4 linked regions of the Saccharomyces cerevisiae S288C genome follow. Changing the gene in region 1 together with any one later gene gives a genetic interaction. Each region holds a gene or a part of one and is shown on either strand. Other genes may lie near its edges.

Region 1 (3,469 bases):
TTTCCTAGTAGTCAATTTGAAAAAAAAAAAAATATATGGGTAATTATAATAACAAGAAGTGTTCTTCTGATTGTCGGAGATGCCTCTAATGCCAATGCACAGGCTTCCATAAAGTTTTCAAGCATGACAGAAAGCTAACTTGTCTTTTACTTCTTTGTTGGGCACACTTCTCATTTTTAAAAAAAAGATTTCCACCTTCACGATCATATCTGAAATGAACTGAATATTTTGTTCTTGTGAGAATAAACTTGTCTACTAATCGCAAATTTTTCAAGATTAACCTTCCGCACCCATTGAGGTACTAAACTGATCTACCCTACCTTTCCTAAATACCTAATGTCAGGTACATAATGCCAGCGACAGCTCAAAATCACGGGATACTAATTATTAAATAGTAGTAGCTTCTTCTCCACGCACAGTTCGATCGAAGGAGCTAATATTCGGCTTGTCATCTTCCATGGCCAGTAATTTTTTTTATTGTCATTTGGGACTAATGAGATGGAAACTAGAATTGTAGTTATACATCCTGAGGTTTCTATCAACTTGTGTGTCACAACGTTTTATATACTTGAATGCGTAGTAGCAAACCCCGGCAAGACGTAAGTTAACTTGTCAAAGGTACAAGCTTGGTTACAAACAATGTGATATTTCGCTCCAGGATATTTTTGCTTTTGGTGACGCCGGTTGGTTGAAGAGCCCCCATTTATCATGACTCCTACCGCAGTTTTCGTATATCTTGGGCCATAAATTCGAAAATTAAAGACACCACTTAATAACGCAACAAAAAGAACGCAATCCTCAGAAAGAACACACACCAAAAAAAAAAAATGCCTGTTTATGAACACTTATTGCCCGTTAATGGAGCATGGAGACAAGACGTCACCAATTGGCTGAGCGAGGACGTTCCTTCTTTTGATTTTGGTGGATATGTTGTTGGTTCCGACCTAAAGGAGGCCAATTTGTACTGTAAGCAGGATGGTATGCTGTGTGGTGTCCCCTTTGCGCAAGAAGTCTTTAATCAGTGCGAATTGCAAGTTGAGTGGTTGTTTAAGGAAGGCTCCTTCTTGGAGCCTTCGAAGAATGACTCTGGTAAGATTGTTGTAGCTAAAATTACTGGGCCCGCTAAAAACATTCTATTAGCTGAAAGAACCGCCTTGAACATCCTTAGTAGAAGTAGTGGAATTGCCACCGCCTCACATAAGATAATCAGTTTGGCGCGTTCGACTGGTTACAAGGGGACCATTGCGGGGACAAGAAAGACTACACCAGGTTTACGTAGATTAGAAAAGTATTCCATGCTTGTAGGTGGCTGCGACACGCACAGATACGACCTTTCCTCTATGGTCATGCTCAAAGATAATCATATTTGGGCTACTGGTTCTATAACAAACGCAGTTAAGAACGCCAGGGCCGTGTGCGGGTTTGCTGTGAAGATCGAAGTGGAGTGTTTGAGTGAAGATGAAGCCACAGAGGCCATTGAAGCTGGTGCAGACGTTATCATGTTGGATAATTTCAAAGGTGACGGTTTGAAAATGTGCGCCCAAAGTCTTAAGAACAAATGGAATGGTAAAAAGCATTTCCTCTTGGAATGTAGTGGAGGCTTGAATTTGGACAACCTCGAGGAGTATTTGTGCGATGACATTGACATTTACAGCACTAGTAGCATTCATCAAGGCACACCAGTGATTGATTTCTCATTGAAACTGGCTCATTGAAAATGCTTAGGCTTCGATTTTTACTTTTTTTTATTTACATATTCTAAATAAGATTAAGAAGCTACGCGTTACCGATTAATGACACACACGACGATTAGTAACGAAATAAGAAATGAATAATGAGCACTCCCAGGAAGGCCGCCGGTAACAACGAGAATACAGAAGTCTCAGAGATCAGAACCCCCTTTCGGGAGAGAGCCCTTGAAGAACAACGTCTCAAGGATGAGGTACTGATCAGAAATACGCCAGGTTATAGAAAACTTTTATCTGCTTCTACTAAGTCTCATGACATCCTCAATAAAGATCCGAACGAAGTACGAAGTTTTTTACAAGACTTAAGCCAAGTGTTAGCACGCAAATCACAAGGCAACGATACAACTACTAATAAAACTCAAGCACGGAATCTAATAGATGAATTAGCGTACGAAGAGAGCCAACCAGAGGAGAATGAGCTTCTTCGGAGCAGAAGTGAGAAACTGACAGATAACAACATTGGCAATGAAACGCAACCTGATTATACTTCCTTATCGCAAACAGTATTTGCAAAATTGCAGGAAAGAGACAAAGGCTTGAAAAGTAGGAAGATTGACCCGATAATAATACAAGATGTTCCCACGACAGGACACGAGGATGAATTGACAGTGCACTCTCCAGATAAAGCTAACAGTATCTCTATGGAAGTTTTGCGCACGTCGCCAAGCATTGGAATGGATCAGGTAGATGAACCGCCAGTACGTGATCCGGTACCAATTTCCATAACGCAACAGGAAGAACCACTATCTGAAGATTTACCAAGCGACGATAAAGAGGAGACAGAAGAAGCAGAAAACGAAGATTATTCGTTTGAAAACACCAGTGACGAAAATTTGGATGATATAGGCAACGATCCTATCCGTTTAAATGTCCCTGCGGTGAGACGTTCTTCTATAAAACCGCTGCAAATAATGGATCTAAAACATCTTACAAGGCAATTTTTGAATGAGAATAGGATAATATTGCCGAAACAAACGTGGTCTACTATACAGGAGGAATCTTTAAATATAATGGATTTCTTGAAACAAAAAATCGGCACGTTACAAAAACAGGAATTGGTAGATTCGTTTATCGATATGGGTATTATCAATAACGTTGATGATATGTTTGAGCTCGCGCACGAATTGCTTCCCTTAGAACTTCAATCAAGAATTGAAAGTTATTTGTTCTAAAAAAGATACCGTAGAGAAAATAATTAAATAGTGGCAATTTATGTACAGAAAAGAGTAAAAGATCCACAAAATTATCAAGACCTGGAAGAGAAGCCTAGTAACAAACTAACCTGTTCATAAACAGTGAACGTTAAGCCTCCTGAAATACCGACTTTCATAAACCTAAAGATGGAGCCCTTCCAGAATGTGGCCATGCCTTCTTGAACAAATATTCTATACATGCAATTTAAGGTATTTTTATATTCAGTTTTGGCATTTTGACTCATCATCCTTGTTTTTACGACGTCAATGGGCTGAGTCATTGCCACGAGTGTAAAAGATGTGGCTAACCCCGTTATTACTGAGGATGCCTTGTCGTTTCTTGCTTGTAACAACCGTTTAAATGCTGTGTATGCAGTAAATTGAATAGAGGTGTTAGCTATCTGCCTAAATATGGTGGCTGTTGTTCCCTGGACGAACGCAGCAGGGCCTCTTGTTTGATACATGTGTTTTACCGCTGGAAGTAGTTTCTCGATACGAGCCACAGGAGTAGATTTAGTCGCCACCTTG
Region 2 (6,472 bases), on another chromosome or scaffold:
CTCGACAGGAGGGTTTAAAGTGTATGGAGAGGTAGGTCTAATGTTTAACGGGGTTTCATGTCTTTCTATCTCTTGCACTAATTGGATGTTATGCATTTTGGGATGATTGAAAGTATTGGTTCTAACAAAAAATGAGTCACGCACGCACAATCACGATTGAGGATGGAGTCGTATAATATTTTATGAACGGATGCTATATCGATCAGACGGTTGGCACCGTAAAAATAAATGAAAGAAGTTAAAGAAGGGCAAATCAGTCGGATTATGTGATAAGTATGTAATAGACATGTTTGAAAATTAGGAGCATTAAAATATGCTTTTCATCCTACAGTTGTTCGGTCTTTTTTCTTTTCGGTGAGCGACACAGCTTTTCTACTAAGGCCGTACCGGGTCATCCAAATCCTAAATTTTCATGCGCTAATAGCGTTGAGGCTGGGTGATAATTCTGCCTACACCATGACAAAGAGGACATATATCTTCGTCCAACAGGAATCTGGTGCGTCCGGACCCTCTGCATTCACCACATAGCACGCCACCCAGGCGAGGATCCCCTGGTTGAACGTACAAGGGCCTATTACCCTGCCATGCGTTGGTGTACACGGGCATTGTATAGTTTGTGTAATATGTCGGTGCAGAAACAACGTTATTTTGAGGTGCAAACCTCCTCCAACACGACTTGCAAGATCGTCCATTCTTCAACTTGTAACCCGTATTTCCACACTTGGAACAGTAAAACCTGGGAGGGTATGTCCAGGGCAAGCTAGGATTCTGTTGTGGCCTCGGTGGAGGCCGTGGTTGGGAACTTGTAGGCGTATAAGAGTGTGAGTGAGCATATGTTTGGGATGAGGACGTTGCTGGCATTGTCGAGGGCCTTTGGTGGGGTCTTGATTGGTGCCCTTGCGCCAAGTTAGCTGCTGGTCTTGGTGGTCGTGGCGGTTGAGATTGCAATCTCTCCTCTTCCTTGATTACGTCCTCGTAGCTCGGCAGTTCATCATCATGCGTGTCTTTAGACATAACAGTATGGTTTATACTCGTTTTATGGGTATTTTTTGGGACTGCTTAGTTCTTGACTTGAAGCCTCTTTATTCCCTTGATGGAAGTGTCACTATTAAAGATGGAGGCGGAGGCTATACCGTAGAAAATGATATGTTTGTATGTTCTGCTCTCTTCCCTCTATTAAAAGGGGGAAAGAGAAAAATAAATGGAAAAAAGCGATTAAGCCATAGGGAAAACACTCTTGTGGTGGCAAAGCATCAGATAGGCAGGCAGGAGGAAATGGCAGTGAAGTGTCAAACCAAGCATACTTTCACTGGATTGATTTGAAAGTTAATGCTGAGTTTGAGATGTTTTAAAGAGGAACTGTGGTGATCGGTTATTTCTATTCGCTTTTGTGTGCGTCTTTTCATCGTTTGCAGCTGAACTTGTTGAGGCATTAGCCGCTGAGGAATTTTTTTCTGCCTCTATAAACTTGTTTATTATCACTAAAAACGTACCGTCTGTTATTTTGTACGGCCATGTGTGCGAAAAAGGACAAAGTGGTAGCGAAAGAGCAATATTGGGACGAAAAGGAGCAGAAAAGGAACTGCGTAGGGTCTTAAATAAAGCAAAACGTCTGAAGGATCTTGCGTACTCCTTACTAACCCATTGTTGTTTTCGACAGTCATAAAAAGAAGTTACCACGGTCTATTTCTCTCTTCTCGCTATTTATTCACAATTGGTGCAGAAAGAACATGGCACGAAATTTAAGGAATAGACGCGGTAGCGACGTTGAAGATGCAAGCAACGCAAAGGTTGGGTATGAAACACAGATTAAAGACGAAAATGGCATAATCCATACAACAACTCGCTCTTTGAGAAAAATAAACTACGCAGAAATTGAGAAAGTGTTTGATTTTTTGGAAGATGACCAGGTCATGGACAAAGATGAGACGCCCGTTGATGTTACTAGTGATGAACATCATAACAACAACCAGAAAGGCGATGATGAAGACGATGATGTTGATCTTGTATCACCGCACGAAAACGCCAGAACGAACGAAGAGCTTACTAATGAAAGGAACTTGAGAAAAAGAAAAGCGCATGATCCAGAAGAAGATGACGAAAGTTTTCATGAGGAAGATGTCGACGATGATGAAGAGGAGGAAGAAGCAGACGAATTTGAAGATGAGTATTTGGATGAAGACTCGAAGGATAACAACCGTCGGCGCAGAGCGGCCGATAGGAAATTTGTAGTACCAGACCCTGATGACGATGAAGAATACGATGAGGATGACGAAGAAGGAGACAGAATAAGCCATTCGGCTTCTTCTAAACGTTTGAAAAGGGCAAATTCTCGAAGAACAAGATCGTCACGTCACCCAGAAACTCCACCACCGGTAAGAAGAGCTTTAAGAAGTAGGACAAGACATTCGCGTACTTCAAATGAAGAAAATGACGATGAGAATGATAATAGCAGGAATGAAGCGTTAACTTTAGCTGATGAAATTAGAGAGTTACAGGAAGATAGTCCTATCAGGGAAAAAAGATTTCTTCGCGAAAGAACTAAGCCGGTAAATTACAAATTACCACCACCACTAACTGCTAGCAACGCAGAAGAATTTATAGATAAGAATAACAATGCACTTTCTTTTCATAACCCATCACCTGCACGGCGTGGTCGCGGTGGTTGGAATGCTAGTCAAAATTCTGGTCCCACAAGAAGGCTTTTTCCCACTGGTGGACCTTTTGGTGGCAATGACGTAACTACAATATTTGGTAAGAATACTAATTTTTACAACCAAGTCCCATCTGCATTCAGTGATAATAACAACAATAAATTAATACTGGATTCAGACTCTTCCGATGATGAGATATTACCTCTTGGCGTGACACCGAAAACAAAGAAAGAGAACACGCAAAAAAAGAAGAAGAAAAAACCAGAAATTGCAGACCTCGATCCATTAGGCGTAGACATGAATGTAAATTTTGACGATATAGGTGGTTTAGACAACTACATTGACCAATTAAAGGAAATGGTGGCCTTACCACTATTATACCCAGAATTGTATCAAAATTTTAATATCACGCCCCCAAGGGGTGTTCTTTTCCATGGTCCTCCTGGTACGGGTAAAACACTTATGGCAAGAGCGTTAGCAGCAAGTTGTTCTTCTGATGAAAGGAAGATCACATTTTTTATGCGTAAAGGTGCAGATATTTTATCCAAGTGGGTTGGTGAAGCTGAAAGACAACTCCGTTTGTTATTCGAAGAAGCTAAAAAACATCAACCTTCCATCATTTTTTTTGATGAAATCGACGGATTAGCGCCTGTGAGAAGTTCCAAACAAGAACAGATCCATGCTAGTATTGTTTCCACATTATTAGCGCTGATGGATGGTATGGACAATAGAGGCCAAGTCATTGTCATCGGAGCCACAAATCGACCCGATGCAGTGGATCCCGCATTAAGAAGGCCGGGAAGATTTGATAGAGAATTTTATTTTCCATTACCTGATGTTAAAGCACGTTTTAAAATTTTGCAAATTCAGACCAGGAAATGGAGTTCACCGTTGTCAACCAACTTCATTGATAAATTGGCTTTTTTGACCAAAGGATATGGTGGTGCTGATCTGAGGTCCCTATGCACTGAGGCTGCACTAATAAGTATACAAAGAAGCTTTCCTCAAATTTATAGGTCAAATGATAAACTCTTGGTGGACCCTTCTAAGATTAAAGTCAAAGTTAGCGATTTCATGTTAGCTTTGAAAAAAATTGTTCCGTCATCTGCGAGATCTACTGGTAGTTCTCCTCAGCCACTACCTGAATTAATCAAACCATTACTGGCAGATCAACTTAATAATTTAAAGAACAAGCTGGATTATATGCTGAACATTAAAGACACAACTTTTCAGAGAAACACATCATTGCTACAAAATTTCATCGATTATGAAGAATACAGTGGAGAGGAAGAAGAGCATGACAAATATGGAGGAAATGAAGATACATCCAGTTTTAGATCATATGAGTTTTTCGAATCGATGGCGGAATCACAAATTTGTAAACCTCGGTTATTAATAAATGGGCCCAAGGGAAATGGTCAACAATATGTCGGAGCCGCAATTTTAAATTATTTAGAAGAATTCAACGTCCAAAACCTGGACCTTGCCTCTTTGGTTTCGGAAAGTTCTAGGACTATTGAAGCTGCTGTAGTGCAAAGTTTTATGGAAGCAAAGAAAAGACAGCCCTCAGTTGTATTTATTCCTAATTTAGACATTTGGATCAACACTATTCCAGAAAACGTTATTTTAGTCTTATCAGGTTTGTTCAGATCTTTACAAAGCAATGAAAAAATTCTTCTATTATGCTTAGCTGAAAATCTTGATATATCTGAAGTTAAAAATGGTATTTTATCTGATTTTGCTTTTGATAAAAATATCTTTCAACTGCATAAACCATCCAAAGAGAATATAACGAGGTATTTTTCTAATTTAATTGAACTACTGAAAACAAAGCCAAGTGATATTCCCATGAAAAAGAGAAGAGTCAAACCGTTACCTGAATTACAAAAAGTAACTTCAAACGCAGCTCCAACAAATTTTGATGAAAATGGTGAGCCACTGTCTGAAAAAGTGGTATTAAGAAGGAAGTTGAAATCTTTTCAACACCAAGATATGAGATTGAAAAATGTGTTAAAAATCAAACTCTCAGGCTTGATGGATCTTTTTAAAAACAGATATAAAAGGTTTAGAAAACCACCTATTGATGATGCCTTCTTGGTTCATCTTTTCGAACCAGAGACAAGCAATGATCCCAATTGGCAACCTGCATATATAAAAGATGAGAACATGATTCTGGAGGTTTCAACAGGGCGAAAGTTTTTTAACATGGATTTGGATATTGTCGAAGAGAGACTTTGGAATGGCTATTACTCAGAACCAAAACAGTTTTTAAAAGACATTGAACTGATATACAGGGATGCAAATACCATTGGGGACAGAGAACGTGTCATTAAGGCCTCTGAGATGTTTGCCAACGCGCAAATGGGTATCGAAGAAATTTCAACCCCGGATTTTATTCAAGAGTGTAAAGCTACTCGCCAAAGGGATTTGGAAAGGCAGGAACTTTTCTTAGAAGATGAAGAGAAAAGAGCTGCAATGGAATTAGAAGCCAAAGAACAGAGTCAAGAAAATATACTGCAAGAACCTGATTTAAAGGATAACAAGGCTAATGAGTTTGGTGTAGCTGCTGGTAATCAATTGCAAGCTCAGCTGCAAACAACTATCAATACAGCCTCTATCGTTAATAACAGCGAGGTCCCTCAACCAATTGATACCAACCTGTATAAAAAGGAGATTCCTGCGGCAATTCCCTCTGCAGTAGATAAAGAAAAAGCGGTCATCCCTGAGGATAGCGGTGCAAATGAAGAATACACAACGGAACTGATACAGGCCACTTGCACGTCAGAGATAACCACCGATGATGATGAAAGGGCCAGAAAAGAACCAAAAGAGAATGAAGACTCTTTGCAAACGCAGGTTACGGAAGAAAACTTCAGCAAAATAGACGCTAATACTAATAATATAAATCACGTAAAGGAAATTCAATCGGTTAACAAACCAAATTCCCTCCACGAAACGGTAGAAAAAAGGGAACGAAGTCCGATACCAAAAGAGGTTGTGGAACCGGAGCAAGGGAAGAAGAGCGACAAGGAGCTTATTTTGACGCCCGAACAAATAAAAAAAGTATCTGCATGCTTAATCGAACACTGTCAGAATTTTACGGTTTCTCAATTAGAAGATGTTCATTCGTCCGTTGCAAAAATAATATGGAAAAGTAAATCAGCATGGGATAAAACAGGAACTGTCGATGAAATAATAAAATTTTTATCTGAATAAGCAGGAGTCCATAATGTTTATATAATTCTTAAATGTAGTTAGTTCATATACATGAATGTGCACTTTTCTTGAAAAGAAATAGATTTAAAACCACACCTTGTATATATATTATGCTTTTTTCCACTACTTTATTTTAACAGTCACTGTTCTGGCATACGTTTCGGGTAATGACCGAGAATGGAATATGTATTGAACATATTGAAATTAAACATGTTCATAATATCTTCTAACACCATTGGAATTGTGAGAAGTAGATCCGTACCATCAATAGCCGGCTCAAGATGTCAACTGAATACTCTGCTGATTCATCTAAATCATTTATGATTGCAATGCAATCTATGATTGATACTTCACAAACCTTTAATCTAGATAGATCGAAAATCTCTTTACCAGATTTTGATGACGAGCTAAAAAAAGTCCAAAAGGATGAACAAAATCAAAGAACTGAACTAACTGTTCTCTCACAAGATAGAAATGATTGGGATGATATATTTGAGGAGTTTAAAGACATTTCATTTGCTCAACTGCAATCTATAATTGATTCATACAAAACAAAGAATGCAGTTGCAGTATATAAAAAAATTGGAAAACTAATCAATGAA
Region 3 (4,031 bases), on another chromosome or scaffold:
ATCTAAAACGTTTCTTCGTTGTACATCCGTCAAAGCCCGTGCCCGTTTGTCGCTTACCCAACAATGAGCACCACGTCTACCTGAAAATACCCAGATGAAGTCCTTATAACCAAAATCCTCTCTTAGGGCCGTGTTCGTAATTTTCATTGCCAAAGATATAAATTTCCAGCACTTAGAGCAAACTTGGGCTCCGGAGCAACACGTTCTGAAGGCATCGTAATCATCCATATCAATATCAAACACCAACTCCTTCTCTAAAGCTTTCAATTCGCTTTTTAATAGAGTATCACGTTCTCTTGGCGGTTTGTTATATATGGCACCGATTTCAAATCTGTCTGGGTTGGCTTTTTCTATTTGTGCTTTGAAATCTTGCACAGAGTTAAAAGAATTATACCTTTTGTAAGCACCTGACCTGAACGCCATAGCGAATTCTCTGTTAATCATATCCCTAGAAGGTTTGGGCGAATGATTCAGCCAGTTGAAAATGTGTTTGAATGGATAGAGCGACTTATAGTAGTACTCCATGTCTGAGGAGCTTGGCCCATTAGTCTTTACTGAATTGGTCATGATGTTTATAAAACAGTTTTTTGAGTTGCTAAAACTAATTTTTGCTAGTATTATGGCACGCTTTTCTCTTCAGCTTCAAAGTATTTTTGATTAATTTTTTATCTTTTTGGCGTTATGAAACTTTTCAACTGAAAGAAAACAATAGGTAAAAGTGGCAAAGGGCACTGACCGAGCAACTGTTTCGAAACTCACGCATCATTCACACGTAGGATATAGTAATGGTTGAACCAGCAAGGAAAAAGCAGAGGATTGATCGCGATACTCATCACACTGTGGCTGAACCAGTAACGGAAGCTAAAAATACGCTGTACGTGAGCCAGCTTAATGAAAAAATTAATATGCAACGACTGCGAGTAAACCTTTTTTTGCTCTTTGCTACGTTTGGAGAGGTACTGAAGGTTAGCATGAATTTCAAGAAACAGCGGGGCCAAGCCTTTATCACCATGAGAACCATCGACCAGGCCAGTCTGGCCCAGATTTCATTAAACGGCGAGCGATTCTTTGGTAAGCCTTTGAAAGTTGAGTTCAGCAAGAGTGAAACTAAAACACTATGACTGGCTTAACGCTCTATTCATAGCAGCACGTATATACCGAGAAGAGCTGCCATAGGGGCACATCAAAGTCAAGAGCGCAGAACCAAACCAAAATGTTTATATCCAAACAACCCGGCGTTATAGATGGTCGTCAACGGACAAATAATATCAAGGCATGTATCAATATGGAGTAGATATAGAATCTACAAAAATCTGTAGCAGAAAGAGTCTCCCGAAAAGACATACTGCAGAACGGCCGCTTATTCCTCACTTCAATTGCTTAAATAATACAAAGGGCAAACCACAGAGTACCCCATTGCCAAAAGACGTTTATTACATTTTGGAAGTGATAATTTAGTATATAAGACAGCTTACTATATGATGAATTACAGTGTAGTTCAGCGTTTATATGTGGCTTCGTTTAAAATGATATATATTTCTAGTAAAAGCAAAAATTCACAAATGATAAACAAATCAAAATAAACATCAAAAGAACCGCCAATTGATAAAAGCACAAAGTACCAGGCAGAGTTGTGAAACCGGGCCTCTTCTATTGTACCACACACAAATTTTTCTTTATTTAGGTAGAGGATGAGTCTGGAACCCACACAAACGGTCTCCGGTACGCCGCCGATGCTGCATCAAAGAACACACAAACAAGTATACCCATTGCGGATGGAAACTATCCCAATATTGGAATCCGACTCCAAGGCTACTCTACAAAGCAACGAGCCCACCCAGAAAGATGAGGAGGAGACCGAATATTTTGAGAATAAACAATCCGTGTCGAATTTGAGCCCCGATTTGAAATTCAAACGACACAAGAATAAACATATCCAGGGGTTCCCTACTCTGGGCGAAAGGCTGGATAACCTGCAAGATATAAAAAAGGCCAAGAGAGTGGAGAATTTCAATTCTTCTGCGCCAATTGCTGACGACAATCATAGTGGAGATGCGACTGCAAATGCGACTGCAAATGCGACTGCAAATGCGACTGCGAATGTTAATGCAAGTGCAATGCCCGCTCCATATATGCCTTATTACTATTACTACCATCCGATGAATGCACCAACTCCTGCAATGATACCATATCCTGGATCACCAATGCATTCGATTATGCCCAACTCCTCATTACAGCCCTTTTATTCGCAACCCACTGCTGCAGGCGGTCCCGATATGACTACTCCCCAAAATATATCTTCATCACAACAATTGCTGCCAGCTCCGCAATTGTTTCCGTACGGATCATTCCATCAACAACAACTTCAGCAACCACACTACATTCAACGAACAAGGGAAAGGAAAAAATCAATCGGAAGTCAGAGAGGTAGAAGATTGTCTATGTTAGCATCTCAAGCTAATGGGGGAAGCACTATTATATCTCCGCACAAGGATATTCCTGAAGAGGATTTTTACACCGTGGTTGGAAATGCGTCTTTTGGTAAAAATTTACAAATACGACAGCTTTTCAACTGGTGTTTAATGAGATCTCTGCATAAATTGGAGTTGAAGGCTAAAAACCAAGAGGAAGAAGGGGAACTTGAACATCTGACCAAAAAATCCAAGCTCGAATCAACAAAGGCAGAAACTGATTATGTGGATCCCAAACGTCTGGCTATGGTGATAATAAAAGAGTTTGTCGATGATCTTAAAAAAGATCATATTGCGATAGATTGGGAAGATGAGGAAAAATATGAGGATGAAGATGAGGAGAAGATTCTGGATAATACTGAAAACTACGATGACACGGAACTGCGACAACTGTTTCAGGAAAACGACGACGACGACGACGACGACGATGAGGTGGACTACTCGGAAATACAGAGGTCTAGACGTAAATTTAGTGAAAGGAGAAAAGCCCTACCGAAAGAACCAAAAAAACTATTACCTAATAGCAAAAACGTGGAAAACACAAAGAATCTTAGCATTTTAACGAGCAAGGTGAACGCGATCAAAAATGAAGTGAAAGAATGGGCAGTCACTTTAGACACTTCGAGACCAGATCTTGAATGGCAAGAATTGACTTCATTCTCATCACAACCACTGGAACCGTTGTCGGATACAGAAGAGCCAGACCTTGCGATTGCAGATGTTGAGACAAAGTTAGAAACAAAAGTCGATGAGCTAAGGTACCAGTCGCATATATTAAACTCGCACTCACTAGCCTTAAACGAAATAACAAATTCAAAAGTGAATAAATTGAACATAGAAACAATGAGAAAGATCTCAAGCGAAACGGACGATGACCACTCACAAGTGATTAATCCTCAACAGCTGTTGAAGGGATTAAGTTTATCTTTCAGTAAAAAACTGGATTTATGAAATAAAAGAAAAAATCAAAAAAAAATCGGATACTTCTGCATATGTAACATTACACAGTCATACATTTATATATACATATATATACATATTAATGTATTTGAAAAAGCAAAAGAACCATTCTATCCTTAGTTAAAGGGCGAATCAGTAGCAGCGCTACCACTATTGTTATTGTTTTCGTTTGCTGTCATGGTATCGTGGTGGTAAATAATACTTTCTTGAAGTGATAATGTTGATGACGATGCTGCTGAAGGGCTACCCATATCTAAAGATTTGAACAGCTGGAGTGGGCGTTCCAATAACCCATTTGAATGTTCATTGTATACCTGTAATCTTGTCATATGACTTTTCCAGACGGAGCTATTATCTGCTAATAAAATTATCCTGTCACGGGCAACATGTTCAATAAGCGTACACCATACGTGAGACAATTGTTCAATGCATTTATCGTAGTAGTAATTATTACTAGCTAATTCAAATCTGGGCAATTTGATAACTAATTCCGTGCAAATGTCTAAGAATTTTAATGATGCGTGCAAATTTTCCAAACGTGGTGGAATGTTATCCAGTATGAAATCCACCAAACAGTTTAAGAACTCCAGAATTTGAGGT
Region 4 (5,483 bases), on another chromosome or scaffold:
TGGCGCATTGATATCAGGCACTGGGGCGGCTGAAGTGACACCTAAATCTTGTAAAGACTTGACGGTCTCAGTCTTAGTTAACTTAAGTTGATTTGCACGAGAGTTGGTTTTTGAGGGGACATACTGTTGAGGTTGTTGGCCCTCAACGTCCACCATGGAAGTGTTTTGTGAGTTGAATGAAACAACAGATTCTTGATCACTCATATTTGTTTTGTGTATTATTTTTGTGATTAGTTATTAGATGGAATTAAAGGAAAAATATCAATGGACAAAAAATATTAGGGTGTAGAAATAAAGAATAATAGCAGGGCTTTGATAAAAGAATGTATCAATTACTTTTTGAAATTAAAGTTAAAATTAAAATTCAAACCGAAAAAAAAAAAAAATTAAATATTAAACTTGATATAGTAGGAGAAGGAAGTTGTATATTGTTCTCTATAAACACAAACAATAAAATGATATATTTGTTTTCTTATTTCTTCTTGATGTCTTCAGGAAAAAAGAACATAAACAAATACAAAAAAATCCTAGTACGAAACCTCAAAAGGGTGTATGCGCAATGTATATATATAGCAAGAAAAAAAAATAAACAGTGGCATTACAGTGCATGCGGATGGCAGTGTTCTTCGGTGGCTTTTTCGAAAAACCTAGAATGCGTTTAAAAGACTCAGACACCTAAGCAGAATATGCGAATGACTCGTTCAGTAAAATGCGACGCGACAGTTTGTTTTCGTTCTGCGCTGCTGTGTTCTCTATTCTTTTGAGATGAATTTAACGGCTATGGAATCATCTCGAGAAATCGGTTCTAGTAAGGCACCAAGACATTATGTCCCTCGGGAGGAGAAGGGCGCACGCGTCAGGCTTCCACGACGTCCGCCGTGCATGCGCTCTCGCATTTTTAAGGTTTAGTGCGGCAGGCGACTGCGCTGCGGCCAGCCCGTGAGACCACCCGAGGGAATTTGAGTAAGCGCGCCCATTGCGGGGTTTTTGCGGTTTGCGCTGTTTTCCGCACGAGGTTTCTCCGGACACAGTTAAGCAGTATATTTCACTCGGAAGCGCCGGAAAATTTTTTTAAGCGCAAATATATTCAGGTAAGCAGCAAAAAAATACTTTTTCCGGTGGCCCGTGATGTGTTTGTAACAGCTTCTGCGGTACTTTGGGCGGCTAAATGGCAAATAGATCAGGGGAAGGGTTTTTGCATAGGTACAAAATAACCGGATTTTGGGTAAGATTCGATCTTCGGCACTTGTGGCGAAGTAAAAGTGTTGAAAAAGTTCGCGTAATAATAGTGTTAGCCGTTTCAGCTTCGTCCATAAAGTACATATCCACAACTCTCATGGTGCGAAGTACAAACATTGAACGGCAGCTGTCTTGCTCAGCTAGTGGTATGTAAGCAGCCGCATTCTATTTTTATTTTCGTGCCTTTAAGTGTTAAAACCTGAGGCAGATTTTTTATTTTTTTGCATTCCCCTTCCTTTTTGCCGTAATGGCGCATTCAGTGCTGATATATTTATACTTCAATGGTGCTTCTCCTTACTTTTCTTATAGAAATAAACATCAAAACATGAACCTCAAATTCATCCGAAAATGACTGCGGCCACTCACCTTGCTTCTTCCCCACAAATATTTGTGTTCTCTGCTTTCTTTGTGTGTACTTTGTCTTGCTCTATATAACTTTCTCTCTGCTGCTGAGTCTTCAAATAGGTAGATTGATGCCTGTGGACTTTTATACAAAGGAGTTTGAGTGATTACATTCAAGATAAACGTGAAAAGTTATTATTATATCTTATGCTAAACAACAGTGTAATTGCGTTTGTTAAGCACAATCTCAAAATAATGCGCTAACAGTGGTGCGCATACTGCCATTTGTTATGGGCTATAATCGGATAGTGTATTCTTCTTGTTTGGTTATGTATCTCAACATCCAGGTATCCGTTACCCCACTTTGATACCAGGAACCTTTCGCGTTTTCTCTCGCTTTTATTTTTTTACCGCATACAAACAAACAAGAAAAAGTAGAAAACATATGAGATCATCGATTTTGTTTCTACTAAAATTGATGAAAATTATGGATGTTCAGCAACAGCAAGAAGCTATGTCATCAGAAGATAGGTTTCAGGAACTGGTGGACTCCCTAAAGCCAAGAACTGCGCATCAGTACAAGACCTACTATACTAAGTACATACAATGGTGTCAGCTCAATCAAATTATACCGACACCGGAGGACAATTCTGTAAATAGCGTCCCCTATAAAGACCTGCCAATATCTGCTGAACTGATACATTGGTTTTTGTTAGATACATTAATAACCGATGATAAGCCTGGAGAGAAAAGAGAAGAGACTGAAGATCTTGATGAGGAGGAGGAGAATTCATTCAAGATCGCTACGTTGAAGAAAATTATAGGCAGTCTCAATTTTTTGTCAAAATTGTGCAAAGTTCATGAAAATCCAAATGCTAATATAGACACAAAATACCTGGAGTCAGTCACCAAGCTTCATACCCATTGGATAGATTCACAAAAGGCAATCACCACTAATGAAACAAATAACACAAATACTCAAGTGCTGTGTCCACCATTATTGAAAGTGTCTTTGAATTTATGGAACCCAGAAACTAACCATCTCTCTGAGAAATTTTTTAAAACCTGTTCTGAAAAATTAAGATTCCTGGTGGATTTTCAATTAAGAAGTTATTTGAACCTTTCATTTGAAGAAAGATCAAAGATACGATTTGGTTCCCTCAAGCTCGGTAAAAGGGACAGAGACGCTATAATTTATCATAAAGTAACTCATTCGGCGGAAAAAAAAGATACGCCGGGCCACCATCAACTCCTTGCATTATTACCCCAAGATTGTCCATTTATCTGCCCTCAAACTACATTAGCTGCATATTTGTATTTAAGGTTCTATGGTATACCATCTGTTTCGAAAGGGGATGGCTTTCCCAATTTGAACGCTGATGAAAATGGCTCACTTTTACAAGATATTCCCATACTAAGAGGCAAATCACTGACAACTTATCCCAGAGAGGAAACATTTAGTAATTATTATACAACCGTGTTTAGGTATTGCCACTTACCTTATAAAAGAAGAGAATATTTCAACAAATGTAACCTTGTTTACCCAACTTGGGATGAAGACACTTTTAGAACATTTTTCAATGAAGAAAACCATGGAAATTGGTTAGAACAACCTGAGGCCTTTGCGTTCCCTGACAAAATACCGTTCGACTTCAAGAAAATCATGAACTTCAAATCGCCCTACACTTCGTATTCTACAAACGCTAAAAAGGACCCTTTTCCGCCTCCAAAGGATTTATTAGTTCAAATATTTCCGGAGATTGATGAATATAAAAGACATGATTATGAAGGTTTGTCTCAGAATTCAAGGGATTTTCTAGATTTAATGGAAGTTTTACGAGAAAGATTTTTGAGCAATCTACCATGGATTTACAAATTCTTTCCTAATCATGATATATTCCAGGACCCCATTTTTGGAAATTCCGATTTTCAATCATACTTCAATGACAAAACTATACATTCAAAGGGTTCACCCATTTTATCATTCGATATACTACCAGGCTTTAATAAAATCTATAAGAATAAGACAAATTTTTACTCACTCTTAATAGAAAGGCCTTCGCAGTTGACATTTGCTTCGAGTCATAATCCAGATACACACCCCACTCAAAAACAAGAATCTGAGGGGCCATTACAAATGAGTCAACTTGATACTACACAATTAAATGAATTATTGAAGCAACAGAGTTTCGAATATGTGCAGTTCCAAACACTTTCTAATTTCCAAATTTTATTATCGGTATTCAATAAAATTTTTGAGAAATTGGAGATGAAAAAATCTTCAAGAGGCTATATTTTACATCAGCTTAATTTATTCAAAATTACCTTGGATGAAAGAATTAAGAAATCTAAGATTGACGATGCCGATAAATTTATACGTGATAATCAGCCCATTAAAAAAGAAGAAAACATTGTGAATGAAGATGGGCCTAACACATCAAGGCGGACAAAGAGGCCGAAGCAAATTAGATTACTCTCAATTGCGGATTCCTCCGACGAATCCTCCACGGAGGATTCAAATGTATTCAAAAAGGACGGTGAATCCATCGAAGATGGCGCATATGGAGAAAATGAAGATGAGAATGACTCTGAGATGCAAGAGCAGTTAAAATCTATGATAAACGAACTTATAAACTCCAAAATAAGCACTTTTTTACGGGACCAAATGGATCAATTTGAATTGAAAATAAACGCTTTATTAGATAAAATTCTTGAAGAAAAAGTCACTCGTATTATCGAGCAAAAACTTGGTTCACACACGGGGAAGTTTTCAACGTTGAAGAGGCCACAACTATACATGACGGAAGAACACAATGTTGGATTTGATATGGAAGTTCCTAAAAAACTTAGGACCAGTGGTAAGTACGCAGAGACTGTGAAAGATAATGATGATCATCAAGCCATGTCAACTACTGCATCGCCGTCTCCTGAGCAAGATCAAGAAGCAAAGAGCTATACTGACGAACAAGAATTTATGCTGGACAAATCCATAGACAGCATAGAGGGAATCATTCTTGAATGGTTCACCCCAAACGCTAAGTACGCCAACCAATGCGTGCATTCAATGAACAAATCAGGTAACAAGTCGTGGAGAGCTAATTGTGAAGCTTTATACAAGGAAAGAAAATCAATTGTTGAATTCTATATTTATTTGGTAAATCATGAGAGTCTCGACAGATACAAAGCAGTTGATATTTGCGAAAAATTACGAGATCAGAACGAAGGTTCATTTTCGCGCTTGGCAAAGTTCCTAAGGAAGTGGAGGCATGACCATCAAAATTCATTTGATGGTCTGTTAGTATATCTATCTAACTGAGGGAGCTTCGAAGTTTAAACTGTTTCGTATAGGGATACCGACATGTATGTTTATAATATAATGATGTTTACTATGAGAAAAAGGCTGCCGGAATATCAACGGTTGCTGTGGTGAGAAAATCGGGTAACACCTATAGGGGTTCCATCACTTCAGATGCCTTGAACTTTGAAATCTATACGAATATAGGAAGACTGAGTTGGTAGACCTGGTAAGATAGAAGAGGAAGAAGGCTTCTTTATTACCGCAACTAAGAATAAACTTATAGCTTCATGCGAATCTCAAAAAATAGTCATAAGCGGCAAAGAACGAGGCTATATTTCCTCGTTACATTTATTATTTATTCGATAATACCCTGCCGTGCGGTACTCGTGCCTTGGCTGGATGATGACCCATTTGAAGCAACGCTTCTAGAAATGGGGGATGAACCATGGAGTAAGGACATCCTTTCAAGCACACCTCCGTTACATCCATCTGAAGTTACCGAGGATAACAAAAGCTTAAAACAAAGGGGCAATGTACCGCAATATGTCATCGATAATAGCCCTCTGCTCCATTTATATAGTGAAGAAAAGTACTGGCCAGCTGA

The links.
Region 2: mutations in CNN1 (region 1) and YTA7 impair growth when combined (synthetic growth defect), as found in Saccharomyces cerevisiae (one study listed by BioGRID).
Region 3: mutations in CNN1 (region 1) and DSN1 together harm fitness more than expected from each alone (negative genetic interaction), as found in Saccharomyces cerevisiae (3 studies listed by BioGRID, with this or other methods).
Region 4: mutations in CNN1 (region 1) and CBF2 impair growth when combined (synthetic growth defect), as found in Saccharomyces cerevisiae (2 studies listed by BioGRID, with this or other methods).

What each region holds. Positions count from the first base shown.
Region 1 is NC_001138.5:242,525-245,993, reverse strand, and holds CNN1 (centromere-binding protein CNN1), read left to right. Parts: upstream 1-1,834; coding exon 1,835-2,920; downstream 2,921-3,469. Other genes in the region: BNA6 (nicotinate-nucleotide diphosphorylase (carboxylating)), read left to right, coding at 828-1,715; MRX20 (Mrx20p), read right to left, coding at 2,995-3,469. UniProt on the Saccharomyces cerevisiae protein: Component of the kinetochore, a multiprotein complex that assembles on centromeric DNA and attaches chromosomes to spindle microtubules, mediating chromosome segregation and sister chromatid segregation during meiosis and mitosis.
Region 2 is NC_001139.9:1,025,640-1,032,111, forward strand, and holds YTA7 (chromatin segregase YTA7), read left to right. Parts: upstream 1-1,730; coding exon 1,731-5,870; downstream 5,871-6,472. Other genes in the region: FOL2 (GTP cyclohydrolase I), read right to left, coding at 1-96; HUA1 (Hua1p), read right to left, coding at 418-1,014; SLH1 (RNA helicase), read left to right, coding at 6,152-6,472. UniProt on the Saccharomyces cerevisiae protein: Functions as an ATP-dependent nucleosome disassembly factor that helps evict canonical histone H3 from the 5'-end of genes upon their induction.
Region 3 is NC_001141.2:373,740-377,770, forward strand, and holds DSN1 (MIND complex subunit DSN1), read left to right. Parts: upstream 1-1,691; coding exon 1,692-3,422; downstream 3,423-4,031. Other genes in the region: DNA primase subunit PRI1, read right to left, coding at 1-567; U2 snRNP complex subunit MSL1, read left to right, coding at 786-1,121; STS1 (Sts1p), read right to left, coding at 3,548-4,031. UniProt on the Saccharomyces cerevisiae protein: Acts as an essential component of the kinetochore MIND complex, which is required for the spindle checkpoint and kinetochore integrity.
Region 4 is NC_001139.9:765,403-770,885, forward strand, and holds CBF2 (Cbf2p), read left to right. Parts: upstream 1-2,026; coding exon 2,027-4,897; downstream 4,898-5,483. Other genes in the region: TPO2 (spermine transporter), read right to left, coding at 1-204; VPS62 (Vps62p), read left to right, coding at 5,167-5,483.